4 linked regions of the Schizosaccharomyces pombe genome follow. The protein of the gene in region 1 purifies or fractionates together with the protein of each later gene. This does not show direct contact. Each region holds a gene or a part of one and is shown in the gene's direction. Other genes may lie near its edges.

Evidence for each region.
Region 2: the proteins of red1 (region 1) and cbc1 purify together in Schizosaccharomyces pombe (affinity purification with mass spectrometry; 2 studies listed by BioGRID). This does not show direct contact.
Region 3: the proteins of red1 (region 1) and rrp6 purify together in Schizosaccharomyces pombe (affinity purification with western blotting; 2 studies listed by BioGRID, with this or other methods). This does not show direct contact.
Region 4: the proteins of red1 (region 1) and brr2 purify together in Schizosaccharomyces pombe (affinity purification with mass spectrometry, with the first as the bait; 2 studies listed by BioGRID). This does not show direct contact.

What each region holds. Positions count from the first base shown.
Region 1 is NC_003424.3:5,069,755-5,077,105, reverse strand, and holds red1 (protein Red1), read left to right. Parts: upstream 1-3,207; 5' UTR 3,208-3,233; coding exon 3,234-3,378; exon of another isoform or gene 3,379-3,656; coding exon 3,657-3,717; intron 3,718-3,917; coding exon 3,918-5,644; intron 5,645-5,688; coding exon 5,689-5,894; 3' UTR 5,895-6,175; downstream 6,176-7,351. Other genes in the region: protein mcp3, read left to right, coding at 1-1,970; ASTRA-associated protein 1 Asa1, read right to left, coding at 6,304-7,351. UniProt on the Schizosaccharomyces pombe protein: Promotes the exosome-mediated degradation of mRNAs containing a DSR (determinant of selective removal) signal sequence from mitotic cells.
Region 2 is NC_003424.3:3,225,932-3,232,704, forward strand, and holds cbc1 (nuclear cap-binding complex large subunit), read left to right. Parts: upstream 1-2,578; 5' UTR 2,579-2,601; coding exon 2,602-2,852; exon of another isoform or gene 2,853-2,901; coding exon 2,902-4,993; 3' UTR 4,994-5,467; downstream 5,468-6,773. Other genes in the region: TRAPP complex subunit Trs120, read right to left, coding at 1-105, 147-312; tda3 (FAD-dependent amino acid oxidase), read left to right, coding at 998-1,049, 1,111-1,452, 1,525-2,261; isocitrate dehydrogenase Idp1, read left to right, coding at 5,605-6,773. UniProt on the Schizosaccharomyces pombe protein: Component of the CBC complex, which binds cotranscriptionally to the 5'-cap of pre-mRNAs and is involved in maturation, export and degradation of nuclear mRNAs.
Region 3 is NC_003424.3:608,496-615,146, forward strand, and holds rrp6 (exosome 3'-5' exoribonuclease subunit Rrp6), read left to right. Parts: upstream 1-2,352; 5' UTR 2,353-2,390; coding exon 2,391-2,657; exon of another isoform or gene 2,658-2,715; coding exon 2,716-4,782; 3' UTR 4,783-4,843; downstream 4,844-6,651. Other genes in the region: spo20 (sec14 cytosolic factor family, phospholipid-intermembrane transfer protein Spo20/Sec14), read left to right, coding at 497-655, 704-1,006, 1,203-1,325, 1,389-1,664; MEK kinase (MEKK) Mkh1, read right to left, coding at 5,003-6,651.
Region 4 is NC_003424.3:1,458,301-1,468,177, reverse strand, and holds brr2 (U5 snRNP complex subunit Brr2), read left to right. Parts: upstream 1-2,898; 5' UTR 2,899-2,918; coding exon 2,919-9,449; 3' UTR 9,450-9,733; downstream 9,734-9,877. Other genes in the region: Tf2-1 (retrotransposable element/transposon Tf2-type), read right to left, coding at 1-2,331. UniProt on the Schizosaccharomyces pombe protein: Involved in pre-mRNA splicing. May be involved in endoplasmic reticulum-associated protein degradation (ERAD) and required for growth at low and high temperatures. Required for pre-spliceosome formation, which is the first step of pre-mRNA splicing.

The sequences.
Region 1 (7,351 bases):
AACAAGCCGAAAATAAAACTATCAGTTATGAAGAAAAGCTTTCTATAGCTCAAAATTCTATTAATGAAATTCAAACCCAAAACAGGGATTTAAAACTTGAAACCGAGAAGTTACAGGATCAAATCAAAGCGTTGCTAGAAAGAAATCAGTCATTGCAAGAAGCTCTAGAAACTGTTAAAAATGATGAAAAAAATCTGAGAGAAATGAACGCCAATTATGAAACCGAGATGAAAGAAGCGCGTCAAAAGTTAAACAACAAGGAGGCATTAATTAGTCATTATGATGATGATTTTCGAGCAAAAGAATTAAAAATTTCAAGACTTTCCGAAAGTCTTAGAGAAAAAGCAGGCTTATTGGAGTTTCAGTCTTCTGTTAGTGAACAAAGGGATCTACTTTATCAAGAACAAATACAGTCGTCAATAAAGGATATGGAGAATGTATTTCGAAAAAATGAATATCTTATGGAAGAACTTAATGAATTAAAGAACAATCTTGAAGTGGAATCAAGTAAGGTTTTGAGACTTGATGAAGAAATGAAATGCCTAAAGGATGAGCAACTCTCTCAATTTGACACGGTCTTTAGTTTGACTGATGAACGGGATGGATTACAGAAGGATTTAAAAAACACTAAGGGAAATCTTGACGATGAAATCGGGCGCTCTGCATTTTTAAAAAGCCAAATCAGGGATCAAGAGCTAACTATTGAGAAGCTCCATGACAGTTTGGAGACTTTAAGTCAAACTAACAATAGTTTACAGTGTGAGATTTCTGAAAAGAATGCAGAGTTAAATTCAGTAAACTCCAAACTTTCTGAAGGTAGAGCACACCTGGAAACCGCGAATAAGGAGAATGAGATATTGAAGCAGCAATTGGAGTTAAGTGAATCCAAATTAGCCAGTTTGTTAAACTCTTATCAATCATTTATTAATAAAAAAGAGCACCTCTATTCTTTTTTACAGCTTGTCGAGCCATCGTTCGCTAAAAGTGATTCATCTAATGCTACCGAATCCCAAATTTCCGAAAGTGTACGAAAAGGAATTTCAATATTTAATCTTTTGTTCATTGTTTACAAAAACGTATGCTCTCAAGCTGGAATTAATCCATCTACAAAGCTTGAAGATCTTGATGAACATACACTTTCTGATGAGCTGACTTATATAACAAAAAAGTTTGTACAAAAGGATCAAGAATACCAAACGAAGGAAATCGAGTTAAGGAATTATAAAATTACTCTTCAGTCGTTACTTGAAGATAAGCTTATCGGTGTAAATACTGATTGCAGATCACCTTCTTGTTCAGACTTTGAGCAACTAGGGCAAGAAAGCGAAAATAATACTTCTATCTCAGGAAGGGTTAGTAAATTAGTCAAAAGCTTTAATGATTCATCTTCTATTTCCAACAACACAAAAATCTCAATCACTAAGTCCCCATCTGGTGAGAAAGTTTCCGTATTTAAAGAGATGTCAGACATAGCTCTGCGCGATATGGATAAAAACAGAAAATTATTGGGAGAAAATGTTGACGTGAGAAATATTGTTGTCCAAAAGGATGAGTCATTGAACATTGACTTACAGAATAATGCTGTAGTACCTGAACTGCACTTCAAGGAGGGGATGGTATACGATTCATTGGAAAATGCGTATACTTATTTGGCCGAATCCAAACGCATGTTAGCAAATGAACTTCAGATGAAGCAAGAAGATCTTGAAAAAGTTATTTTAGAACTTGAAGCTTACAAGGAAATCTTCTTAGAAGAAAAACAAATTCCTTGTGAGGAGTTTATGCCAGGTAAGAACGCAAAATCCGAAAAGTCACTGCGGTCAGTTTTTCAAGAGCAGTTGATGAGAGAAACAAAGCGAGTTCGAAAATTGGAAAAAGTAAACTCTGAATTGAAATTGCATTGCTTTGAACTTTCTGAACGATTGAGGGAGCGCGAGCATACACTACAGCAAACATTTGGAGACAAATAGTATGTTCGCAAGTAGTAACAGATCAAAGGTACTAGCCTCATTGAGATTACCAATAAATAATCTATGAATACGGTCTTTCGTTTTAAATGCTTGAAGGCCGCCTGTTAGCCTCAAATGATAACTTGACCGGTCTTAAAATTTCGAGGTTTATGGGGGAATTTCAATAATAAATAATAACAAAATCTAGCATTTTTGTTAGGTGATTACATGAAAGCGTTTTGATCTTAAATCATTTCTTCAAGCTCCTGAAAGGCTAAATTTTTCATGTAACGGATTAAACAGACTAAATTCAGATTAATAACTTAAGCAACGGAAGAGTATGTTATAAAACTGCACGATTACATATTCCTCGGTCTTTAGTATTTTTGCACGATCGGCCTTGTAATCAGATACGGAACTACCTTTTCGATGAGGGTTTTTAGTAAAAAGAGCTATTACCAGTGTTACTGTCAATAGTCGGCTTTCGTGCTAAAACATCATAAACGGATACCCGAACTTTTATTGCACACGAAATTTGCATAAAGCACAATGTTTTTGTTGTTTTTAGTTTATGAACTTCAAGTTTTTAATAAAGGCCAAAGACTGTTCCAACGTTAAAACCGAACTGAGCGAAAGAATATTTCTTTTTCTCATGTGCTCATAGAAGGATATGCTAGTAGAAAACATTATCATTATTGGACAAAGGTTTAAAACACAGTTTTCTCATTTTCGCTATTTTTCTTGAACTTCTCCAGATGTTCTATGTTTCTATTTATGAGACAAGGCGGCCGCTACTAAATTACTGACTAGTCCATTAAAAGCAGATTTCCCGCTATAATTTGATAACTCAAAAATGTTATTTCACCTTCGCGTAAATTTGTGCTGTAAACTAGCAAAAGATAATTGGATGCGAAAGCTTTGAATCACCGCTACACTTTTCGTATGAGCAAGCCAATAAGGCTGAACATATTAGCTGTTCTTGTGTTACTTTTTAAAATTGTTTGAAAATATATTTGCTACATTCAGTATACCTGTTCAATAGACTAATTCCGAATGTTTTGTAAATAAAGAGTCTTAGTGCATATTTCAGACAGTTCATTAGAACAAATAAGAAAGTATTCAACCATCAATATCTTTATTAGGGAATAACATGCTCTGAGGTGAAAAAACTTTATGTGCAATAATATTTAATGTTTTTCGCGTTTCACTGTCTTAACTGGTACTACAAACAAAACATCTGCTGTTGAAATTTGGCACTACTAACCCAGTTTTAGCTGTAAATAAATGTCCCGGTCAATAAATCTCGATGAGTTGCGAAAAAAGGCTTTAGAATCAAAAAAGAAGAATGAAGAAGATGAGAGTAATGACTCTGACAAAGAAGATGGCGAAATTAGCGAAGACGATCCTGTTATAGATCAATCAAATTCAGGTAAGGTAGATTAGAGATGGAAATTTACACAAATATATTGTGAAACGAGACTTTTTGTTTTTATAGGCTTGTTCGCATTTTATTGAGTTTTCCTCGACGATTGCTTGCATTCGTTTAGAACATTTCATATCTCTATTTATATGCGTGGCTTTTTTTTTTTTAAAGAGAGAAAAATAAAGCTGGCAGAAGCCTTTTATATGTATTTGGAAATTATGTTTTGATATCCATCTTTTCAATTTTCTCACCGTTTAAATGAATTCGTTTTTTTAACAGTTTAGTTCCGCCAATGAAAGTACCAACCTTTCCTGAGCAAATTCCTCAGTTGCCTCCTTTTGATAGGTAAGCATGGCATTTGATTAAACCTGTCAGTGCAGCTTATTTATCTTTTCTACGGAGCTATTCTCCGCTAGTTATGCTGTTCTGTACGGTTTAACTCCAACTTTGGGATTACGAGAATGACAATTTGTAAAATTTCCTTTTTTTTTTTCGAACTTGAATACATTCAACCCATCAGGTGTCTTATCTAACTAACACACTAGATTTCCTGGAACTAACGCGAATTTTTTTCCATTTGGCGCACCTTTTATGCTTCCTCCAGCTTTGATGTTTGGACCAAATACAGTTCCTTTCTTTCCTCAAACCGCCTCCTCAAACAAAACCTTTTCGAAGCGCAAACGGTCATCTGAGAATTCATTCAACAACCGAAATAAGGCGAAGTCTTCTGAAACATCGGATTCTTCTAATACTTCCCAGTCATTTAAAGAAAACCGGGCTCTTAAAGATACCGCTACTAGCCGACCATTGGCTTTATCATCCGACACTTCTTATCAAAAGAGTGAAAAGGCAAAATCAGAAAAATCACCTTTTCTTTCAACATCTAAAAATTCTGATGCAAATTATTCCAAGACTACTAATCAAAAGGAAGCAGAGAAAGCTGTGAGTCAGTTGTTTGAAGTAGGAGTGCGCTTTAACGATTTTATTGCTGAGGGCATCGAGCCTTCGGTTGTTCATACTTTATTTTTAAAGCTCGGACTGGATTCCTCTTCTGCTAGCTCCCAAGGAAGTCTGACACTATCTGCAGACAAAGCTGCTAGGTCTGCTAAACTTCGTAAGATTGACAGTAATCTTAGTGACACACATATATTACCTGGCGATAATGGTACACCTACCGTCCTTCCTGAAAGAAAAAATCTTATATCTTTACCACTTTTGAAGCAGGACGATTGGCTATCTTCTTCGAAGCCTTTTGGCTCCTCGACTCCAAATGTAGTTATTGAATTTGATTCCGATGATGATGGAGATGACTTTTCGAATTCGAAGATAGAACAATCTAATTTAGAAAAGCCCCCCTCAAATAGTGAAAATGGTCTTACTATGTCTCGTTCAGATTACTTGGCGCTTCTTCGCAATAAAGAAGAGGAAATACGGCGAATGACAAAGTTGATCTTACGGCTTGAGTCTAATAAAAAACCGTATAGATCGCCAACTTCTGCCGCCGATATGAAACTTCCATCTGTCCCTGTAGCTGCGGTTGACAACAAATCTAAAACACACTTGGATACCTTTGAAAAAGTCGTTGATCTTAGTTCCAAAGCCGATTTTGTGGAGGCTGGACCTTCTATTAGCTCGTCAGGAGCCTCGTCTAGTGCTGCAACTACGAATTCTGATACAACTGAGCAGATATTAGAGGCACCTTGGCTCAGAAAGACGGAACAAATTGCTGTGGTACATGAAGAGCATCCCGCACAGATTAAAAAATCCGAGATTGACATTTTAAATAACTTAATAGAAAAAGAGGAAGGAGAACTAACAAAATATCAAACTTTGGTGAAATCAAAAACTGAGATTCTAACACAATTGTACACTAGGAAAAAACAGTTACTCGAACAACAAGGGAAAGGAAATGTTGCATGTTTACCTAAAGAATCTGATTTAAGTATGGACTCAATAACCGAGGTTTCCGCCCAAGCAGATGAGAACTCATCACAGATTTTGTCTTCCAAAACGTCAAACGCGCCAAATGGGACGACGGAAACAGATTTTGAGGATAAGGTACCGCTTGTCGATTATATCTCTCCATTTTACCGCTTTAAATCTTATCGATTTAATCAACAATTTGTTGAGCGAGTACCGTTGAAATATCGGTCGCTTACCTACAGCAATAAGATAGAGCCGATGAAAGTTTTCTGTAAATACGAAACCACTGGTGGTGTTTGTAATGATGACCATTGCGAGGCGTCGCATTTTCGCGACATTAAAATGACGGGTTATGGTATTTGTGCTGTTGATTTTTGACTAACCTTTATACAGATGATGAAATTATACAAGATTTATCAAGGTACATCGAAGGAAATGATGAAATTGAGAAAGAGTCTTATAAATCCGGTTTAGATATAGTCATGAAAAATACCGATGAGAACACCGATTTCGTCGATGTTGCTACTCGAATCGTCGAATATCATAATCTTTGGAAGTCGGAGAGAATGACAATTCCTGTTGCAAAGGTTTCCATTTAGATTGAAACTGCCAAGCAACATCAAACTAACTGTAAAAATTTTGACCGTCAAAATTACGTCCTTGTACTATAAACATCACTATACATAAACAATGGCTCTTTGCCGTTATAAAACTAATGTCACTACTTAATATAGCTCAGGTTAGAATTATGTCTTTCGTACTTTCTATGCTTGCATATGAATCGCTCATCTTATTTGAGGCGATATCAAAATACTGGAAGATTAAGCATTTACTAGTCTGATATTTAATATATTTAATATATGTAATACGTTTAAAATCATTTCAATGGTTATTGATAAAAATGCGCGTATTGTAATAAGAATGAATTGAATCCTGCAAACCAAAAGTAAATGATTTCTTGAAAATGATGATGGATTAAACGTAACTGTAATGTCCTAAACTTTTGCCCTAATACAACTTCCAGAGAGATATTCTGGTGTCTTTACTAGCTAACGCAATCACGTTGCTGCCTGGATGAAAGGCCAAACTATTAATACCATCGGAGTGATATTTCAAAACCGCTAAAGGAGCTAATGTCTGGCAGCTGTAAACACGACCTCGACCATCCCATCCTGCAGTTGCTAATATCTTGTTATCACTTCGTATACGAATATTTTGTTGTCCACAATGCTTTGTCTTTCTAAATATAGGATGAGGCAGACTACCAAGATCATCAGCTATAGATGAAGGAGTAGGATGCAGACATATACAGTCATCAGCACCCGTTGAAAATAATTTGGAACCAGCGTACTCTACCGATAAAACTGGTTGAGAATGACTTTTGTAGGCGTAAACCATCTTCCAAACAGCTTTAAAATCGAGGGTAACAGTCTTTACATTTTCTAATGAACATATGTACTGAACCACATGACCGCTTTCGTAACCGGCAGCTAATAGTACATACTTCTCGTCAGTAACGGTTACTGAGGTTGACATTACTGATCCTGTTTTACCAACAGACTCTTCTGGCTGAATTCTCGTCTGTAGTCTTTTTCCGCAATCCTCTTTGTGTGTTTGAGGATGATACAATGATTCATCATCATATACATCAAGCTCTTCAAAGTTCAATGTATTGCATAAAACTACTATTTTAGATTGAGGAGAGTAAGAGAAGGGGCAAAAGGTTAGGGAATTAACAACGATATTGGAATGAATAGATATAAATGCGCTGCTCTTCTCAGTTTCAGAAGAGGCTTCAGGACCGTAATTTTGAAGTTCAGCTAGTTTTGATAATGACATAAAATTGTCGGTCATGCAATTAAAATCGATTTTCCAAGTGACGAGACGACAGTCTCTACCGTGAGTGCATAAGGCTCCTCCCTTGACTATTTGCATGCCCAATATGGTTTTTGTATGAGCTCTCCAGGCGCATTTTGGTCGCATACTAGTAAGACACCAACAAATTACAAAACCTGCCTCATCACCAGAATATAAGTATTCATTAGCGTCAAAAAGT
Region 2 (6,773 bases), 1.8 Mb from region 1:
GAAAATATTCAAATTCTTCTAGTAGAGCTTGTTGATCATCAAGGCTGGTTAGGAAATTGTACACCAATCTGCCCAACGGAAAAGCCAAAGGATTGAAAGAACTCGCTATTAAGATTAGTCAATAATCATAAAAATAAGAAACATACATTTTCTAGTAGCAGTAGCTACAGGGACATCACTCAACTGAATATGACTTACTCTGCGGAGTAATTGTAGGTAGGACGAGAAACTTTTTCTTCTAACACGACCAAAAGGAAGGACTAATGATTGAACTCTGGAAGGAGCAACAAACGAAAAAAAATCAAATTCCATAGCATCTCCAGCAATGTAATGTTTTGGAGCACGTACTGAGAACAAAGTGCTTGAATACCATTTAACGGATTACATCCATACCATCACTAATTTATTTTGCATATTTCTGTTGATTGTCGATCATAAGTCGGTAAAATAAACTTTTCAAGATGATATCGCTTAACAATTATCATTGTTGTGAAATGTCTAATATTTGTTATGCTTTGGAAATACCATTCTGCATATACAGCTGTACAGCTGTTTTCAGTAGATTATTTGGAATCAAAATATAATTACAACTCAATGAACTGGTTGCAGTAATTTTAATTAAGGCATGTGTAAATAATATGTAAACTATCTGAAGAATGTGAATCTGGCATTTCAAAAATTTAAAAATCCGTTTGTTTATGCGAACTTGACTTTATAGATTAGGAGGAGTATTTTGTAATTTTTTTCCTTTTTTACAATCGTTTGGTATTCATGAAAGAATCGTATATCTCGCCATAGCAATTTATGAAAGGCATTCTGAATGGCAAAAACTGTTGAATATTGAACCGTTTTGTTATTATTATTATTGCTATTTATTTTATTCTCAAAATGGTAAAAAAATAAGAGAGATTGAAGGAAATACTGGTGAGGATAACGTAATGTTTAGAAGCGTTACAGCAAGATGATTGTGTTTCAAGTCAACTTTCCAACTTCAAATATGAGCGCTACAAGTAGAGAAGGAAATAAGACAAAGATAGGAATAGTAGGAGGTAATTTTGGAGAACAACAGTTTCATAAATGATGAGTGAGCATGCTGACGATGATTTTTAGGTGGCATTATTGGAATTTGTACGGCGTTTTACTTAACAGAAGAACAAGAATACAAAAAAGGAGAATTGGACATATTTATATTTGAATCAAAAGAAATAGCAGGAGGTAGCTCCGGCATTGATTCTGCAATCTTGACAAAACTGTGCCAGAATGAAATCATACAGCCACTTTCAACTCTCGCTTTGAAGCTTTATGAAGGATTGGATAAAAAATTTGATGGGAAGAAAAACTGGGAATATAGGACTGCCAATTCTTGGTTTTGTAAGATGAAATGGGACAATACCAATGTTGCCAAAGTTCCCGATACTTTGCAATGGCTTCAACGAGAGCGCATGCAAAAATGTAAGCTCATAAGTGCTACCAAAAAAAAATAATAACTTTATTGTATAAGTCATATAGAGACTAACCATTTAGGTTCTAGTATCGGTTCCGGCAACGATTTTGCAATGATCAATCCAAAATTGTTTTGTCAATTTATGGCAAAAGAAATAGAAAAACGAGGAGTAAAGTTTATATTTGGAAGTGTGAAAGAGGTTAGTAAACACCATATTACATACGTTCCAAAACAAGAAGCTGAAGATACAATAATAAAAGCACAGGTGCATAAAACGCTGGTGAGTGCTGGGCCTTGGACTGGTTATCTATTACCATTTACTGGTATTGCAGGTCTATGCATTCCCATAATTCACCTATCGGTAGGAAATTTTCCCGTTGGCGACAGCATTGTTGTGTGTTGTTTAAATACCATGGGTAATCTAAACATTTGCAAAACAACCGAAATTTTCAGTAAAAACCGGGAGCAGCTTATTTTTATGGGAACTCCAAAATTCCATTTGCTGCCAAAAGATAGTAATCGATGTTTTTTTAATCCTTTTGAAATTATCGAATTGAAAGAAATGACCGATTTGGTGCTCTCGGAGAATACGAAGAGTAACTACTTAGACGCATCTTTTAAGTTCCTTCCTACCAGTAGAATAACAGGTATCCCGATAATATCAACAACCAAGTCTGGTGTATTTGTTGCAGCGGGTCACGCCAACTGGGGGATAACTCAAGCTCCTGCCACGGGTTTATGTATGGCAGAAATGCTCCTTGGCAAGGAAAAAACAAGCATAAACACAGATCCTTTTCACTTAAATCTCGGTGAATGAGGATTTCAAATTATATCCTCTAATTTTTGTTTTAATTGTTTGTCAAAAAAAACGAAGGACTCATTCACTGAAAGGTGAAAATATAGAAGCAGAATGGATGCTTATTCCTTTACCGAAATAGAATATTACAGTGTTGTAAAATTTTCTAATCATATTTATTAAGGTTTTCGTTTTTATCGCATTGGAAAATCGATTTTCTTTTTTTTTGTTTTACAATTTCCATCTCGACTTAGTATACCATTCGTTACCTCTAAGTTGATTGTTACTTGAGAACACTTGCTCGTGTTTTTACAATTCTGCTATACGCCAACAACAGTAAGACACTAACATTCCTCACAAAATGTCTTCTTATCGGGGATCAACTCGACCCAGAAAGAGGACGAGAGAGGGAGAGAATTATGGATTTCGTCCCCATAGAGGAAACTCTCAAGAGCTACTTGCAGCGCGTATAAAAAAGGATATTACCTTTTTGGCGGATCCTCGAGGAAATTCAGTAGCTGCTGATGACATTAATTATGTTGCTATGTCTCTTAGTCGTGAAGCTAATGATCCTGAAACCATTTCAACTATCTTAGATTGCATTCAGACAACGTAAGTGATAATTTATACTGTCCCTTCAGAAAACTAATTTAATCCTTAGTGCATTTATCATTCCAGTCAAAATACCTCATTTGGCTACATTAATTATAAGAGCCTCATTAAGGGTTCCTTTAATCTTAGAAAAAGCAGCTGCGTATTTTTGTTTACAGTATTTTACGAATTTAAACTCCTTTCTTTATTACGAGGCTAAAGTCGATCTACGAATGCTCATTTGCATGTCATTTGCACTTCAACCAGGTACCCTTAAGCCACTATTTTCATTACTGGCTGACGCTATCTCAAAAGAAACCAAACCCAGTGTCTGGGGAGATAATTTCCTGCGCATAATTTTGATAAACCTTCCATATTTCATCGCAGCTAACAACGATCTCGGTAAAAAGGATTTTGCTAATGAGATACTGGATCAATGTGAGATTTACGTTCGTCATAGGAAATCTTCGATAACTCTAAGTAATCCCCTTTCAATACATGACAATCTTTCAGAGGAGGAATTGGACTTACTCTATAAACAACTAATTCTATCTCGGGAAAACGACTTTACTTTTCCTTATATATCTCAACCCTGGAAGTTTTTTGAATCTGATTTCGTTCATATTGTTCCGGTTAGCCCAAGTATTCCTGAATGGACGTTTCAGCCCACTCCTCAGCAAAATGAGCTACCTTCCTTCAAGAGATTTTTTGAGCTTTTTAATAACTTTGAAATTCGCACGACTCCTGACGCTTCCGACGTTGCAGCCAGCATATTTCGTGATATAAGTGTGGATGTTATAAACCATTTGGAATTTAACCGAGTTGAGGCTGCTCAAGTTCTTACAGATTTAGATGTTTATTTTACCTACAAAACTTTTGCTCTTCGTGGTACTCCAGTAAATGAATTACCAAATTTAGATCCATCGGAATCACGTTGGAAAGCAGAAGATATCATAGTTGAAGCTGTTTTGGGTGAGCTTCTTGGTTCACAGAATACTACGTATAAACCTGTCTATTATCATTCGCTTTTGATTGAATGCTGCCGTATCGCTCCTAAAATTTTGGCTCCAACTTTTGGAAGGGTCATTCGGCTAATGTATACCATGTCTTCTGATTTACCTTTACAAACACTTGATCGATTTATTGACTGGTTTTCACATCACCTTAGTAATTTCAACTTTCACTGGAAGTGGAATGAGTGGATTCCTGACGTTGAGCTGGACGATCTTCATCCAAAAAAAGTTTTTATGCGGGAAACTATTACTAGGGAACTTATTTTAAGCTATTACACAAGAATTTCTGACTCACTCCCTGAAGAGTTACGTTGTTTGCTTGGCGAACAACCGTCGGGTCCCAATTTCGTGTACGAAAATGAGACTCATCCGCTATATCAACAGTCAAGTCAAATTATCGAAGCATTGAGATTACATAAACCGTTAGAAGAACTTGACATTATTTTGCAGAGCGAGGAGATTCAAAACTCCGAGACATCTGCTGTCCGATTAGTTATGTCTTGTGCTTATAGCTTGGGTTCGAGATCGTTTTCGCACGCATTGAACGTGTTCGAGAAACATCTTAATACATTGAAACATTTTTCTCGAAAATCATTAGATTCCGAAATAGAGGTTGTTGATGAACTTTTTTCATTTTGGAAATTACAACCGTTCAACGCAGTTATGTGGCTAGATAAAATGCTGAACTACTCTATAATTAGTATTACCTCTATTATTGAGTGGTTGATCAAGCAAGACGTGACTATATGGTCTCGTAGTTATACGTGGTCACTTGTTAACACCACTTTTAATAAATTAGCAGCTAGATTGCGGCGTTCGGTTTCTAACAAAGAAGACTCTTCGCTAATCAATGAAGCGAATGAGGAAAAGGAAATTGTCACGAATTTACTATTGTCAGCTTTGCGCGCCCTTATTTCCGAAAATGCTGAAAATATATGGGTATCTCATTGGCTTAACCTTATGTTAAAATATGTGGAATCAAATTTCCTCTCTGTTAAAAAGGACACGATAGAAGAAGCAAACGAGCCTGTTCAAGAAAATACCAGTGAGGAACAGGAAGACACAAAAATGCAACCCGTCGACGCAGTAGATGAGCAGCCATCAGAAAATAATCAAACAGCAGCTGATGCAACTAATGAGGAAAAATAAAGAAAGTAGTCTATAACAAAAATGAAGAAAGTGTTGTTTTGATATCAAAAAGATTAAACTGAAGAACTCGACTGGTAATCACGACGTTGTCAATCTGCTACAACGTTTGAACGTGGATATAGCTTATATTAAATATTTAATTATAACGTCCCATTTTCATAAGCACTTGTAGGACGCTGCTGCACTTCACAGTTAAGTTACTAGAAACGAAGATTTCAATTTTATAGGTAACAGGGTTATCAGATCTATCAGAGGTAACGGATATCTAAAGATAAGATATTTTACGATCGACTTGTCGGTTCTAGTTTTGCGTAGTGTCATACTATGTGAGCGAATGGATAAGCGAAATGTTCACTCACATCTCCGATATCAGAAGTGACTAAATCTTTTCTCAGTTTAACGAAAGGATTGCTAAAATGTAACAAAATCACTACTGCCATCAGTAACTTACACTTAACCAACCACTTTGTGCTATTGTAAGAAGTAGTGAGGAACAGAGGCAGTTTGGTGGATAGAACTAGGATTTAAGGGACATTTGCACAGCTACTCCTTCTCAACTTAGCTTCGTCGAATATTTCATTTACTTTAAAGGATAAAAAAACTGACACAATATGTTGGAAGTACGTGCTGCCGTAAAGGCACCTTTCAAGTTGGCTGCCGCAGGCCGTGGTTTCATGAATATGCGTATGGCTTCAAGCAAATCTTTTCAAAAGATCACTGTTAAAAACCCAGTCGTTGAAATGGATGGTGATGAGATGACGAGAGTGATTTGGAAGATCATTCGTGAAAAGTTGGTTCTCCCATATATGGACATTAAATTGGATTATTATGACCTTGGAATCGAAGCTCGCGATAAGACAAACGACCAAATTACTGTGGATGCAGCCAAAGCTATCCTCAAAAATGATGTCGGTATCAAATGTGCCACCATTACTCCTGATGAGGCTCGTGTGAAAGAGTATAACCTCAAGAAGATGTGGAAGTCTCCCAATGGTACCATTCGTAACATTTTGAATGGTACAGTATTTCGGGAGCCCATTTTAATCAAAAACATTCCCAAGTATATTCCTGGATGGACGAACCCTATTTGTATCGGGCGTCATGCCTTTGGAGATCAATACAAGTCAACGGACTTGGTAGCTTCAGGCCCCGGTAAGTTGGAACTTTCATTCACCCCTAAAGGTAATCCTTCTGCTAAAGAAACATACAATGTTTACGAGTTCAACGGTAGTGGTGTAGCTATGTCTATGTACAACACTGACGACTCTATTCGTGGATTTGCTCACAGTTCTTTCCAAATGGCTTTGCAAAAGAAAATGCCACTTTATCTTTCCACTAAGAATACAATTTTGAAAAAATATGATGGTAGATTTAAGGATACATTCCAAGAAGTATATGAATCTGATTACAAGCAAAAGTTTGAGGAACTAGGTTTATGGTATCAACATCGTCTAATTGATGACATGGTAGCCCAAGCTATTAAGTCCAATGGTGGTTTTGTTTGGGCATGCAAAAATTACGATGGTGATGTTATGTCGGATGTGGTTGCCCAAGCTTATGGATCCTTAGGCCTAATGACTTCTGTCCTCATTCATCCCAACGGTCGCACTTTTGAGAGTGAGGCTGCTCATGGTACTGTACAGCGTCACTACATGCAATACTTGAAAGGTAAGAAGACTTCAACCAACAGTATTGCCTCTATCTTTGCCTGGACTCGTGGTCTTGCCCATCGTGGTCGTTTAGATGGCAACGAACGTTTAGTTAAGTTTGCCAACGCCCT
Region 3 (6,651 bases), 4.5 Mb from region 1:
AGGTGCATAAATATTGATGACAGAAAATCACCACAAGCGCACTCAAAGGCTTAAATAAAATAAACATTATCTATCGTTCGTTTTTTTTGGTAAAGAAAAAATGCTTCCACAAAGTTAAATTGTCACTTTTTCCCCATGTTTTATTTACCTTCAACGCCTCGTTGAAGGCCATTCTGCATCTCAAATTTGTCGCACTTTTCATGCAAGTTGAAAAATTGGTTATACACAATTTAAACCTCATACGAGGAGCTTCTTCCTCTCATCTGATTTTTAACACTGAAGTTTATCCTCATACTCACATATAACAATAGCGTTGGGTGTAGCATGGCAACAAAGGTTCCTGCGGTAGTAGGTAAAAGGCCCCCACGCTTGACTGATCCCCCACGGCTGATGACCACTAGTATTAAGGTCGCTGACGTTCTTCCTTTTCCTTTATACATCTTGTACAGACTGGGTCATTAGGTCTTCTCTCTACAACCATCGTCTAAACAAAAAGATGTCAGAAACTATATCGGATCCTTATCCTCTAACTAATCCAAATGCTCCATTAGGGCACCCAGGGCATTTGAATTCTACACAGCAAGCTACGCTAGATAGCATGCGTTTAGAGTTACAAAAACTTGGATACACGGAAAGATTAGACGATGCCACTTTAGTAAGTTGTACAGCAGGAAACTTTGTGTTTGTACTAATGGATTCTTAGTTGCGTTTTTTGAGAGCCCGTAAATTTAATTTGCAACAGTCGCTGGAAATGTTTATTAAATGCGAAAAGTGGAGAAAAGAATTTGGTGTTGATGATCTTATCAAAAACTTTCATTATGATGAGAAAGAAGCCGTTTCCAAATATTACCCTCAATTTTATCATAAAACTGACATCGACGGCCGTCCGGTATACGTTGAGCAACTCGGTAACATTGATTTGAAGAAGTTGTACCAAATCACGACTCCCGAGCGTATGATGCAAAATTTGGTTTATGAATATGAAATGCTTGCTTTAAAACGGTTTGTAAGTAAATTCAAATGATTAAATGTATCTCCAGTAATTCTCATAATCAAACCTTTCCTTTGGATTTGCATATTCCATATAAGGCTGGTTTTTCGGCTTTTTAATAGAAAAACTTTTGGTTTTCTACTGTGTTGAATTTTTTGTGATATATTTTTTCATTTTGATATTTCTTTTCATCTTTATTAACCGTCTTCAGCCCGCTTGTTCTCGTAAAGCAGGAGGCTTGATTGAAACTTCGTGCACAATCATGGATCTAAAGGGTGTTGGTATTACTAGTATTCACTCGGTTTACAGCTACATTCGTCAAGCATCAAGCATTGTAAGTTGAAAATGTTGAAATTTTTGTTCTTTTTTTTTTTTTTCAAGTATTAACACGTTAAAGAGTCAAGATTATTACCCCGAAAGGATGGGCAAGTTTTATGTAATTAACGCTCCTTGGGGATTCTCTTCTGCCTTTAATCTTATCAAAGGTTTTTTGGATGAGGCAACTGTCAAAAAAATTCATATTTTAGGCTCAAACTATAAGAGTGCTCTGCTCGAACAAATCCCTGCTGATAATCTTCCTGCTAAACTCGGTGGAAACTGCCAATGTCCAGGTGGCTGCGAACTATCTGACGCCGGTCCATGGCATGAAGAACAGTGGATGAACAAAAATTAGACTTCTTTCTCCGAACGGGATTTAATTGCTAGAATAGATGAATGTGGTTTGTCCTTTGATAAGAGTAATAGTGTGTAGAGTTTTTGCCGATCTTTCAACTTTGTTCTGCGTTTTAGTTCTTAAAGGTCTTCGTTCTATTTTTACTCAGCATCTCAGGTACTTCCTTCTACTTACGGTTTACTATTCGACGAAATTATCGTATATAGATCGAAGCATATATAAATATTTTATTTCGAAAGTCATGTGTTGATCCATCATCAACATCATGGGATGGTTGCTGTTACAATTCTTAATCCTTATAGAAGGTCTCAATACATATATCGTTCATTAATTTTCCAAAAAAGGACGCTCGATGATCCAACTGATTTGATTGTTTCATCCATTCTAGATTATCCGAAGTTTTTAAATTTGTAATTCATCTACTTTGATTATTTTTTTACTTTTTGATCAAAATTGAATGCCTATATTATAAAAGACCTCTCTATAGTTGCCTGCTAATAGTTTCACAATTTTGAACTAATCATAAATAATTGCTTTTACATAATTCTGCTAAGATTTTGCATTTGTGTAAAATATTTTATATATATAAAAATAGCTCTTGTATTTCGTACTTTAACGATGTCTATATTCAAGTTCGGTAATTCGTTGAGCGTGTGGTAAAAGTGCTTGAAAATTCCTGAACCAAACCAAAAACCTTACTGATCCAGTAGGGTAAACAATAGCATAATGGATGAGTCAGAATTGTTTAAGGGTTTAATGAATAGTACAGCCTATTGCTCTGAATTGGCAAAGGTTGATATACCGTTTTATAAATCAATTGATACCGAATTCAATGAAAACATAAAAAGTGTTTCTTCTCGTTTTATGAGATTAATTGAATTGCTTCTTTCTAAAGTAGACAGAAGTCGGGCGGAGGATATTGTGGACGTTGAAGATATAGATAATAGATGGGCAGAAGTATCGGACACATTAGACATACTCTTTGAAAAAGCTGTAAGTGAATTTTTGAAATTGTAAACGGATTTTATTTAACTAAGACGTATGAATATAGGACTATTCTATCGATAAAGCTCAAGGACTTTTAAAAAAGCCAGCGATCGAAACCCATGCGTCGACAAGCGATGTTGCCAATAAAAAACCAAAGAAAGAAAAGTTGCCCTACAAGGTTATTCACGCAGCTCATCTTACTAAGCCTCAATTAAGGTTTCGAGTACAGCCTAATAATTCCAGGGAGTTTGTGTGGTCTTGGAAGTTAACTGAAAAACCACATTCGTTAGTACCGCTCGAAAAGATTATCGCTCAAGTCAAATTGGACCCTAGTCTCAAAAACTCGTTACCACATCCATATGAACCAGAAATACAAAATAGCGTATATCCTCCATGGGTTTCAGAAATGTCTAATCCCATCGATACTGGCTCTGTCGACGAAACAGAACCTATCTGGGTTAGTACTGAAAGTCAGTTATCGGATATGCTAAAAGAATTACAAAACAGCAAAGAAATAGCCGTTGATCTTGAACACCATGATTACAGATCATTTAGAGGGTTCGTCTGTCTAATGCAAATTAGTAATAGAGAAAAAGATTGGATTGTTGACACCTTGGAACTCCGCGAAGAGCTTGAAGCTTTGAATGTTGTTTTTACTAATCCAAATATCATTAAAGTTTTTCATGGTGCAACTATGGATATCATTTGGCTGCAAAGAGATTTCGGGCTTTACGTTGTAAACTTATTTGATACATACTATGCTACTAAAGTTTTAGGATTTGAGGGTCATGGTCTGGCTTTTCTGTTACAAAAGTATTGTGATTATGATGCAGATAAAAGATACCAAATGGCTGATTGGAGAATCCGTCCTTTGCCTCGGGAAATGTTAAAATATGCTCAATCTGATACGCATTATTTGTTATATATTTGGGATCATTTACGAAATGAACTCATATCAAAATCAGCTGAAAGAAAAGAAAATCTTATGCAATCAGTGTTCAATTCCAGTAAACAAATATCTCTTAGAAAGTATGAACTTGAGCCTTATGATCCTATTTATGGACTTGGTACTGATGGCTGGAGAAATGTACTTACTAAGTTTGGCTCTTCTAAAATAATTGGACGGGAAGCTTTGATGATTTATCGAGCACTGCACGATTGGAGAGATTCCGTAGCCCGAAAAGAAGATGAAAGTGTTCGCTATGTGTTGCCAAATCGTTTACTTATTGCGATTGCCGCCAGTAAACCGGTTGAAGCGGCTGATGTGTTTTCAATTTCTAAGCAATTGACACCAATTGCTCGCATGTATGTTGAAGATATCGTTAAAGTCGTTCAAGAAGCCGAAAAGTTGTATAATGAGCAAGTAGATCGTGAGAAATCCCAATTTAAAGAAGTTGAGAAGCAAAATCAACCGCTAGCAGTTTTTTCCGAATCGAATACTTTGGGTGATTACAAAGTTGACTCCAGTGTTTTCGAGATTTCTAAACAAAATAGAAGTAAACTAAAGACTTTGCTGGCAAATGGATCTGCGTTTTGGATTGAGGGACAGTCGCAAGATGATTTACGGAAAGCTCGTAAAGAGAGACTCTTTATAGTGAACCAGAATATTCCTTTTTCATTAACTCTTCCTTGTACTCAAGGGCATGTTGAATCCGAATTGAATGTAAAGCAGTCCACTGTAACTGAAGCTGCAAACCCGAGTCTGAATGGAGAGAAGAAACAAGAGCCTATAGTCATTAGGGATTTAGGGCTGAACAAGCAAAAAAGGGATTCTTCTAAGCTTAATCATAAAGAACCCTCAAACCCCATAGAGGAGCGAAATGAAGATATTGAACCTTCGGAAGCTTCAACTTCAGTGTCAAAAAAACGGAAGCAAAAGAAGAAAAAGAAGAACAGCGGAAAACTTACTATTGAAGCCGAACATGTTTCTAATGACAGTCCAATTATCAATGAAGCACCTTTTGATTATAAAAATCAAAAGAATTTTATTGCTGACTTAGACTCTGATGTAGGAAAAAATAAATTTGGGAAACGGGGTTTTAATCCTCTTAACAAGGTAAGTTTACCAAAGCGAAATACTAGGGAACTCAAAAAAAGGAAGGTTTCAGACGGGAAGAGTACATCTTATTAATATCAGTTTTAATTTTAAATAAACGAAACAATTTTGACAAAATGAAAATTTACTTTTAAATACATTGTAGAAATTGAAAATGATCATGTATGTTTGTTTGTATAATAATGTAATAATTTTCAAAATTAATTTCAATATTAAATAAATAGCTATAAGAAGAAATTGAGAATGCATGCCCCTGCGAGGAAACGCTAAGTAATAAATAATAATTGCGACCAATTTAGCTCTTTCTTTTACAAAGCATGTCGTAAAGATTCGTGTCCTTAAAGTTGAATTCTTCGTCACATTTCATAAACGGGTGATTTAATAATTCCTCTGCGGTTGGCCTTACATCAGCATTCACAGTAAAGCATGCATTCAAAAATTGAATCGCTTCGGGTGATACCTGAGACACCAATTCACTAGGAATAGGAGGCGCCTTTTTCTCGGTACCTAACTTGAACATAGCTTGGATAGCCTCATCTGTAGACCACGGTCTACGACCAGCTAACATTTCCAACACTACACATCCCAAGGACCAGACGTCGACCTTAGCACTATATCCTTGATGATCATTATGAATTACTTCAGGTGCCATCCAAAAGATGGATCCTTGCATGGACAGGTTTGCGTCATTGTCATACACATTATCACTATGCTTAGATATTCCAAAGTCTGAAATTTTGCAAACTCCATCAAAATCAATGAGCAAATTGTCAGCCTTTAAATCTCGATGTATAATACCTTTAGAATGTAAGTAAGACAACCCGTAGAGCACCTGGCGTGATACAAAACGGACCAGTTGCTCTTCGAAAGGACCATAATTCCGCAAACATCGACCAATTGAACCACCTGAAACATATTCCAGGAATATACTTATATCCGTTTCCGTCTTTTCGAAACCCAGATATTGCACTATATTTAAGTGATCCAAATCGGCAATCATAGAAATTTCTGCATTAATGGAATCCACGATATCTTTGCGTAATTGGTCATGACGGCCATTAATAGTTTGTGGTATTTCAACTTGCTTTACTGCAATCAATTCACCCGTATTAATGTTCATAGCCAAAAATACCTTACCATAAGTACCATTTCCAATCAATTCTCCTTTCATCCATTTGAACGTGGCATTTTGTGAAACAACTGATCCAGAAGTTATAGTAGTATCTGGTTTTAGTTCTACAATCCTAGAGCCCCAAAGTTTCGTACTTGATCGACGTAGAAGATTTCCAGATTTATTGCGTCTCGCGTTATGTCGTATTTCTTTCCGAGCTTCAGATGCTTCGCGGGCTAATAATCGTACAGACTTCATTTTCGGACGTATCGATACCTTTGAAGGGGAAGAAACCATGCGGCTTTGGTCCACTACAAGTACTTTATCCAAATCATAACGGGGAAAAAATCGATCAACATCCTCATAAAGATCATCAGCAGATGGACGAACTTCCCAGTTACCAGAATTGATAACCTTTGAAGACGGTGGGGATTCACGAATATGTTTGGACTTTCTTAAACGATAAGATAACGGTGATAAACTAATGGATCTGTCATCACCTCTACAGTATTCAGGAGTTTTAGGCGAAGATAGTTCATTTGCTTTCAAATCCGTAGCAGCCTCTGTGTTAATGGAAAGTTTGGATTGAATGTTGTGATGATTTTCTTTAGGTACTTGGGAGGAAGATTGTTTGGGCTGTATAGCCCAAAAGGGATCCCCAGAAAGATCCGATTCGTCTAGTGCAGGCGCATCTTCAAAAGGTATTTCTGATAAAGCTTCCACACTTTCCTTTAATGAATTAGAAGATTTACTAGATGCTTTGGGGTCAAAAGACGTATGTGAAAATTTGCTAGCTTCGTTATGTCCGGTATCAATGTAAGGAGAGGACCGAG
Region 4 (9,877 bases), 3.6 Mb from region 1:
GAAAGGTTCGATAGTGGATTCTAAATAGTGTCTCCAATGTTTGAGAGACTTAATGATTGCAAGCATTTCTTTGTCCGATACGCTATAATTTAATTGTGCTTTAGACATCTTTGCTGAATAGTATCCAACAGGATAGTATTTATCATCATCATGTTTTTGAGACAATACGGCTCCTACAGCGACATCTGAAGCATCAGTTTCCAGTAGAATCTTTTTACTGAAATCAAAGTGTCGTAGCACCGGAGGAGAAACTAAACATTGTTTAATGTTTTCTATCGCTTGGGTTTGTGTTGGTGTCCATTTCCAGCGTACATCCTTTTTCAAAAGATTATTGAGTGGATGTGTTAATTGTGATGTCTTTGGAATGAATTTCCTAAGATAATTGACAGAACCTAGAAATTGTCGTAATTCTTTACGATTCTTAGGTTGCTTCCATTGTAAGACTTTGTCTATATTTTCTTGACAAGGCGTAAATCCTTTTTCCGAAATGTGATACCCTATAAATTTTACTTGTGATTGGTGAAATTCACATTTTGCTTGATTGATAATTAAGTTCGCATTTTTCAATTTCTGTAGAACGTCTTTAACATGTTTTACATGTTCAGATTCCGATTTTGAATGAATTAAAATATCATCCATATAACATACTACATGTGATTCTTTGGCTTCACCAAGTATTGTATTGATAAAGTATTGAAAATGTGCTGGAGCTGTAGATATGCCATAAGGCATTACTAGATATTCAAAAACTCCACGAGGACAGCGAAAAGCAAGTTTATGTTCATCTCCTTTTCTTACTCGTATCAAGTGATAGGCACTTTTGAGGTCAAGTTTAGTAAAAATTGTAGAACCTTGTATTTTAGCAAGTAATTGTTCAATAAGTGGTAACGGATATATATTGGGTTTGACATACTTATTTAAAGGTTTGTAGTCAACCACCATTCTCAAGGTGCCTTCCTTTTTCGGAACGAACATTACTGGACAGGCGTTAATGGCTTTAGATTCTCGTATAATTCCACTTTTTAATCCTTGATTAATTTCATCATTCATAGCTTGCATTTTTCCCGGTGGTAGCGGGTAATTTCTGATAGGTAATCTGTAGTTTTCTTGAGTTAGTTCAACTTCAAATTCTAACCCTTTTATTGGCTTTGGTAGCTTTTCCGTATTGGTTTCTGCAGTAATGTCTTTGAATTCTTTATAGATATCTGGTAACTCAGGTTCCTTGACAATATTTGAAACTTTGTTCATTTGAGAGAGCGTGTGTTTACTGCTAGATATTTCAATGTTATTGTCATATAATGTTGTGAAGGAGATAGCAGCTGGATGCGAAAATTTCTTTACAACCAAGAATTCTGTTTTGATTGATATTCCATTTAGACTTATGTTAAGTTTTATTGTTTTGCGATTAATCTTATTTGGATAAACTCCACCATATATCACACTTTTTGACCAGGGTCTGGTAGGCAGTTTATGTGCTCGAACAGTTTCTTCTGTTATAATATTTGCTTGAGCGCCCGTATCGATTAGACAGGGTATTGAGCACTTGAAGTCTGGAAGTTCAGCTTGTAATACCATTTCGTAACGTTTCCTAGTATGATTTAGGAATTTGTTAGATGAGTATTCTATTCTCGAAACATTTGTCTTCCTCAGGTTTCTGCTATTAGTGGTGTTATTTTTCTTTGAAAGGGACTCTTTTCCTAGATTTTTATTTTGCAGTTGAAAACGCTTGTGAGTTTTACCATACGAGGCTGTTCTTTTGTCCTCTAAAAAGTCATAAATTTCACTGATTTCTGATTTCCAGTAATTTCTTTCCTTTAATTTCCTTAAGGAATATGGCAGCATCCATAATATAAACAAGCGAGTATGGAAATCATCAACATTTGCTTTTGACATGAGTTTCCTTATAAATTGAACTTTGTCCAATTGATTTCTAAAACCTTCAAATGTTTTAGTTAAACGATCACCTTTGTTGGATCCTTGTACTTTCCCTGTTTGTCTGAGTAATTCTTGCCATGTAAGACTTCCATTCTCAGAAAACATGCGTTCAGCGAATTGTTGCTCTAATTCTTCTAGGTGATTCAATGTATACTGTCTTTTAGTATGCTCATTTGGGAATAATGAAGGGTATTCAGTAAAGTGTTGATCAAGTTTTGAAATGTAACTTTCAACATCCTTATTAGGATCGAATTTCCCTATCTCTGGTACATGCTTCGATAATATTTTTGCAAAAAGGTTTATTAAATGTTCGTCTGATGTTTGAATTCCATCCAAATTCTCTGGTCTCCATCGTTTTGCTCTTGCTTTCATATAACGATAATTTGCGTAGGACATTGTATATGTTTCCCTTTGGGAGATTTCAAAAGGGATAACAGTCCTTCCAAAGTTCTTTCTCCTTTGAACCCAGAAGGAGAGAAATATATATATTTATGATATATATTTATTCAATAATTCCTTTTTCCTAAAAGGAGTTAATTGTAGATCACAAGAGTTCAGTTATTGTAAGCTACGCAGTTTGGTATCTGATTTAAGGATACGTAGAACTGCGGTGAGCTTTCCTTGTGATCTATTATATTACAATACACAGGTTGTATAAGTAGCAACTGAGTATAGGTATTGTATTAACTGGGTTATAATGTTACCTATCACTAATATAGCTCATAACTGAACTGAGGAACGAGGTTCAGCAGTAGCTCTATTTATAGTATTCAGATAATATTGATCTTAATAGATTATCATTAAGATCAATCTCCATATCGTATCATACATGGTACGATATATAATTAGAACATGTGACATATAGTGATACTCAACGTAGTGTATTATAGCGTAGTGTAGTATTGCTGACAGAAATGAACACTTCTAATACCTCGAAGTAGACGAAAATTGAAAATTCAGTTTATCCTCCGCCACTCACAATCATGTCGAGTGCACATCCTAAAGGGGACTCGAAAGAGCCTCCCAAACATGGAAATAGTAAGGAGAAGCCAAACTATGGTCAATCACAGTATAGTTATTCTGCAATGTCAAATTTGGTTACGCAGGCTGATCGAAGATTTGTGTCACGACGTGATGCTGAACCTACAGGCGAACCGGAATCTCTGGTAAATCGAGTTAGTATTGCAGATATGGGTTCTAGAGCGAGAATTGAAAAACCTAGTACCCTTCCTCTCGAATTGACGCAGGAAGTTCAGGAGGTCCGGTTACCTCGTAAAGATGCAGAATCCTTAGAAATTGGTATACGGCAACCTGAACGCGAAAAGCGCTCTTCAGCGATACTTAAATATTTTGATTCTTTTGAAATTTTGAAATATAATCCTCTAACCGACGAGACCCGAGAAGTTTATGATTATATCTTGAGTTTCATTCAACAATACCTTGGCGATCAGTCTCCTGAAATCCTCCGTTCTGCTGCTGATTTGATTATTGAACTTCTTAAGGATAGTTCTTTAGATGAACAAGGTCGTAAAAAGCAAATAGAGGAGGTTTTGAGTACTGAACTCCCACAGGATCGGTTTTCACAGCTCGTTAACTTGGGAAATCGCTTAACAGATTATACAGTTGAGCAAGAAGAAGAGTTAAATGAAGAAGGCGTTAATGAATCTGGCGTACCAGTATTGTTCAATGAAGCCGATGAAGAGGAAGAAGCTGTTGAGGCAATGGAAGAGGATGAAGTGGCAGAAGATGAAGACGTCGTCTTAGAAACTTCCATATCTCAAGAAGAAGAGAAAAAGAATATTGAAAATCCGGATACAGAGGTTACATTTATTTCTGCTGATACCAAAAAAGTTACCGAAATACCCACTGTTCATCCTCGTGAAATCGATGCATTTTGGCTGCAACGAGAAATAGCAAAATATTTTGCTGACGCCGTCGTTTGTCAGGAAAAAACAAATCAAGCGTTTGAGGCACTTTCGGCTGATTACGATCTCGGTGAATTGGAAAATGAATTGATGAGTATTTTTGATTATGAACATTTCTATCTTGTTCAACTTTTGACTAAGAATCGTTGGACAATAGTTTCGTGTACAATGTTAAAACGCGCCGCTACTGATGAAGAACGCTTAGGTGTGGAAGAGCAAATTCGTGCTGCTGGTCGGTCTTGGATTCTCGAAGCTCTACGCCCTGGTGCTATCACTATACCTGATGACGGTTTAAATGAATTAAATAATAATGTTGTTGAGAAAGCTGAACCTGCGCCCGTTTCTGAAATTCCACTTTCGAAAACTTTGACTTCCCATAAAATTGTACCTAAGCACCAAGTTGATCTAGAAAATTATGTGTTTACTGAGGGATCACGTCTCATGTCTAATAAAGCTGTCAAGCTACCTGAAGGCTCGTTTCGTAGGACTGGTAAAGGGTATGAAGAAATACATGTTCCTGCCCCCAACAAAGCCGTACTTGGCGCTGACGAGCGTCTTGTAAAAATCAAGGAACTGCCTGAATGGTCTCATCAAGCTTTTCTTAATACTCAATCTTTAAACCGAATCCAAAGCCATCTTTATCCTATCGCTTTTGGTACTGACGAAAACATCCTTTTATGCGCTCCTACTGGTGCTGGAAAAACAAATGTAGCAATGCTATGTATCCTTAACGAATTACAAAAACATTTACGTGAAGATCTTAGCTTTAACTTACAAAATTTTAAAATTGTTTACATTGCTCCCTTGAAGGCGTTGGTACAAGAGATGGTTAATAATTTCTCAAAGAGGCTTACTCCATACAATATTCGAGTCGCAGAGTTAACTGGTGATAGTCAATTGACTAAACAACAAATTAGTGAAACTCAAATAATTGTAACCACACCCGAGAAGTGGGATATTATAACTCGAAAAGCTAATGATTTATCTTATGTCAATCTAGTCCGTTTAGTTATTATTGATGAGGTTCATTTGCTTCATGATGAACGAGGTCCTGTATTAGAATCTATAGTTGCTCGTATATTTCGCCATCAGGAGGAAACTCTTGAACAAGTTCGATTAGTAGGTTTGTCTGCTACACTTCCTAATTATACCGATGTTGCCAGTTTTTTACATGTCGACCCTAAAAAAGGGCTTTTTTACTTCGATTCGACATATCGTCCATGCCCTTTAAAGCAAGAATTTATAGGCATTACAGAAAAAACACCGTTTAAACGAATGCAGACGACTAATGAAGCTTGTTATGAAAAAGTTATGCAACACGCTGGCAAAAACCAGGTCCTCATATTTGTACATTCGCGCAAAGAAACCGCTAAAACCGCTCGTTTTATAAGAGATAAGGCACTAGAGGAAGAGACCATCGGTCATTTGTTACGCTCTGATGCCGCATCCCGTGAAATTCTTCGGGCTGAAGCCGACTCTACCAGTGATGAAAATTTGAAAGATTTGCTCCCATATGGGTTTGCCATACATCATGCTGGTATGCGACGAGAGGATCGCCAAACGTCTGAAGACCTTTTTGCCGATGGTACTATACAGGTACTAGTGAGTACGGCAACTCTGGCTTGGGGCGTAAACTTACCAGCGCACACAGTGATCATCAAAGGGACCCAAGTTTATTCTCCTGAAAAGGGTATCTGGACAGAACTCTCTCCTCAGGATGTTTTGCAAATGCTTGGCAGAGCTGGTCGCCCACAATTCGACACATATGGTGAAGGAATTATCATTACCGCCCACTCTGAGTTACAGTATTATCTATCACTAATGAATCAGCAGCTTCCAATTGAGTCTCAATTTATGCGCCGTCTAGCTGATTGTTTAAATGCCGAAGTATCGTTAGGAACTGTTCGTAGTATCGAAGATGGCGTAGACTGGCTTGGTTATACATACCTCTATGTTCGAATGTTACGATCCCCTGCCCTATATAGCGTCGGCCCAGAGTATGATGATGACAAATATCTTGTTCAAAAAAGAGCTGACTTACTTCATTCAGCTGCCATTTTATTAGAAAAATGCAAGTTACTAGTGTATAATCGTCAGAGTGGTACGTTGACCGCTACGGAATTGGGAAAAGTTGCTGCAAGTTATTACGTTACTCATAACTCGATGGCCATATATAATCGTCTTTTAATGCAGACAACATCCTTTATCGAGTTATTTCGAGTCTTCAGTTTTTCTGATGAATTTAAGCACATTCCTGTCCGTGAAGAAGAGAAAGTTGAACTCGCGAAGTTGCTGGAAAGAGTACCAATTCCTATTAGGGAAAGATTAGATGAACCTGCTGCCAAGATTAATGCCCTTCTCCAATCATATATATCAAGACAACGCCTGGATGGATTTGCACTTGTGGCAGACATGGTATACGTTACGCAATCAGCGGGTAGAATTATGCGTGCAATATTCGAGATATCATTGAGACGTGGTTGGTCATCTGTTGCAACACTCTCTCTTGATACATGCAAAATGATTGAGAAAAGGCTTTGGCCAACTATGAGCCCCCTTCGACAGTTTCCCAATTGTCCTTCTGAAGTAATACGCCGCGTTGAGAAAAAGGAATTTCCTTGGCAGCGATACTTTGATCTGGACCCTGCTGAATTAGGAGAATTAGTAGGGGTGCCAAAAGAAGGGAGGCGTGTGTACAACATGGTTCAGTCTTTTCCAAGGTTGAGCGTCGAAGCACATGTTCAACCTATCACAAGATCGCTTGTGCGGGTCGAACTTGTTATAAATTCTCAGTTCAACTGGGATGATCATTTAAGCGGCACTTCTGAAGCTTTTTGGATCCTTGTAGAAGACGTGGACGGGGACCGATTGCTACATTATGAACAATTTTTCCTTCTTAAAAAATACAAAGATGATGAGCATATTGTAAATTTTACAGTACCTTTGTTAGAACCTCTTCCTCCTTGTTACTTTATAAAGATAGTTTCAGATCGATGGTTACACTCGATAACTAAGGTACCTCTTTCATTTCAGCGCCTGATAATGCCAGAAAAATTTCCTGCGCCAACACCTCTTCTTGATCTTCAGAACGCCCCGGTCTCTAGTCTTAATAACCCAAGCTTCATTTCCCTCTACCCTAATTTTAAATTTTTTAACAAGATTCAAACACAGGTGTTTAACTCTGTTTATAAAACCAACGATAGTGTTTTTATTGGTGCTCCCAATGGAAGTGGAAAGACTGTTTGTGCCGAACTTGCTTTGTTACATCATTGGAGTCAAGAAGATTATGGTACTGCAGTTTACATTGCCCCAATTCAGGAAATCGTTGATCGTCGATATGAAGAATGGTATGGCAAGTTTTCTGACCTCGGTGATGGGAAAGTTTTGGTAAAATTGACGGGTGAGCGTTCACAAGACTTGAAGCTGATACAAGTTGCTGACTTGATATTTTGCACGCCATCGCAATGGGACTCATTGTCGAAGAGATGGAGAAGTATGCGAAGCATTCAGAAAGTTGATTTTTATATATGTGATGAATTACAATTGCTTGGTGGATTTTATGGTCCATTATACGAAATAGTGATCTCACGGATACGGTACATGGCAGTACAATTAGAAAAAAATATCCGAGTGGTTGGCCTTTCAGTATCTGTTGCTAATGCTCGAGATTTGGGTGAGTGGCTTGGGACTAGTCCACAATGCATATTTAATTTTAGTCCTAAAGACAGGCCTAATCCTCTTACTATTCATTTGCAATCATTCAGTATTACTCATTTCCCTTCCCTTATGTTGGCTATGAGCAAGCCTATATATCGCAGCTTGAAGAACTTTATTTCTCAGAGAAAGTCTACTATTGTATTTACTCCTGACAGGAAAGTAGCGAAACAATTAGCTTTTGATTTAGTTACATTCAGTATGGCTGATGAAGATGAGTATTTGTTTTCGTTAATGGAGAATGAAGCTTTCAATAAAGTTGAAGATGCTGCCTTGCAGCAATCATTGAAGCATGGTATTGCTTATATTAGTGAAATCACATCGTCCAATGATCAGAATATTGTACAATATCTTTACCGTCATGGACTTATCAAGGTTTTGATAGCTTCTCGCGATGTTATTTATTCCTTAAAAGCAAAATCAAACGCTGTTATTGTGATGGGTACTCAATACTATGATGGCAAAGAACATCGTTATATTGATTATCCTATAAGTGAGTTATTACAAATGCTCGGGTTTACTGCTAGCATTGGATCAAGTGAGCTTAGCCAGGTTATTCTTATGACTGTCACTACTAAGAAGGAATATTACAAGAAATTTTTAAATGAGCCATTACCCATGGAAAGCCATCTTCAAGTTTGGCTGCACGATGCTTTCGTGTCAGAAATATCTACGCAAACCATTGAAAGCAAACAAGATGCTGTAGATTGGCTTACATGGTCGTATATGTACCGGAGACTAGTTGCCAATCCTGCCTATTATGGTCTTCAAGATATCACTCATGAGTCGGTTTCTGAATTCCTTTCGGATCTTGTAGAAACAACCATGAATGATTTGAGTGAGGCACGCTTAATCACTGTAGACGATGAGGATGATAGTTGTGTCGCATTAAATTTAGCAATGATAGCTTCTCATTACGGAATTACATACATTACTATGCAAACGTTTGCTTTGAGCTTGTCAGAGCGCACGAAGATGAAGGGATTACTAGAAATTGTTACATCAGCAGCAGAATATGAGCAACTCCCAATTCGAAAGTATGAAGATATTGTGCTGGAGCGAATTCATTCCCGCCTGCCTGTTCGCTTAAGTAATCCTAACTATGAAGATCCTCATACGAAATCATTTATTCTTCTTGCAGCTCATTTTTCTAGATTTGAATTGCCTCCTGGTTTAGTTATAGATCAGAAATTCATTTTGACTAGGGTACATAATCTTCTGGGCGCTTGTGTTGATACATTGTCTTCCGAAGGCCATTTAATAGCTTGTATTAGACCAATGGAGATGTCGCAAATGGTTACGCAAGCTTTATGGGATCGTGATAGTCCTTTAAAACAGATACCCTATTTCGACGACGCTTTAATCGAACGATGCAATAAAGAGGGTGTTCATGATGTCTTTGATATTATCGATTTGGATGACGAAAAACGTACTGAATTGTTACATATGGATAATGCACATCTTGCCAAATGCGCAGAGTTTATCAATAAATATCCGGATATTGACATTGATTTTGAAATAGAAGACTCTGAAGATGTTCACGCTAATTCACCCTCTGTGCTTATTGTTCAACTAACTCGAGAACTGGAAGAGGATGAAGAAGTTGATACGACTGTCATTGCTCCTTACTTTCCAGCTCAAAAAACTGAACATTGGTGGCTTGTAATTTCGGATGACAAAACCCTCTTGGCAATTAAGAAGATTACCTTAGGTAGGTCCTTGACTACCAAGATGGAATTTGTGCCCCCGGCAATGGGAACTTTAAAATATAAACTGAGCTGCTTTAGCGATTCTTATATGGGTGTGGATTATGAAAAAGAATTTGAATGCAACGTTTTGGAACCTTTGGACACAGAAATGGAAGACGGGGAATAAGGTATTGTGCAAAATATGGATAATTCCCAAATTAAAAATTTTGACTTGAGGGTCAAAAGAACTGTTAAATAATTATTTTTTGAATTCATTGTATATTTATTTGCTAATTAATGGATGGTTTGATTCTTTAGCTTTTCTTTTTCAGCAAATTTATTGATGCCATCAGCGTGTGCAAATTCTTAACAACCAAACATGCATTACTAGGTATGCAATGATTTCATATGAATACATGAACATATGTATATATTTATAATTAATGAAGTCAAATTTTGATTTTCAAATAATGCGAAGATAGATTTTCATGTTCACTTAGGAGAATTGTTTCAGTGATGCTATTGAAAGGAGAGGTGTAGCGAGACCTGTGGTAATGTAGATAGTTAAAGTAATTTTCAAATGTTTTAACCTGAAATTCAAAAAATATGCAACGT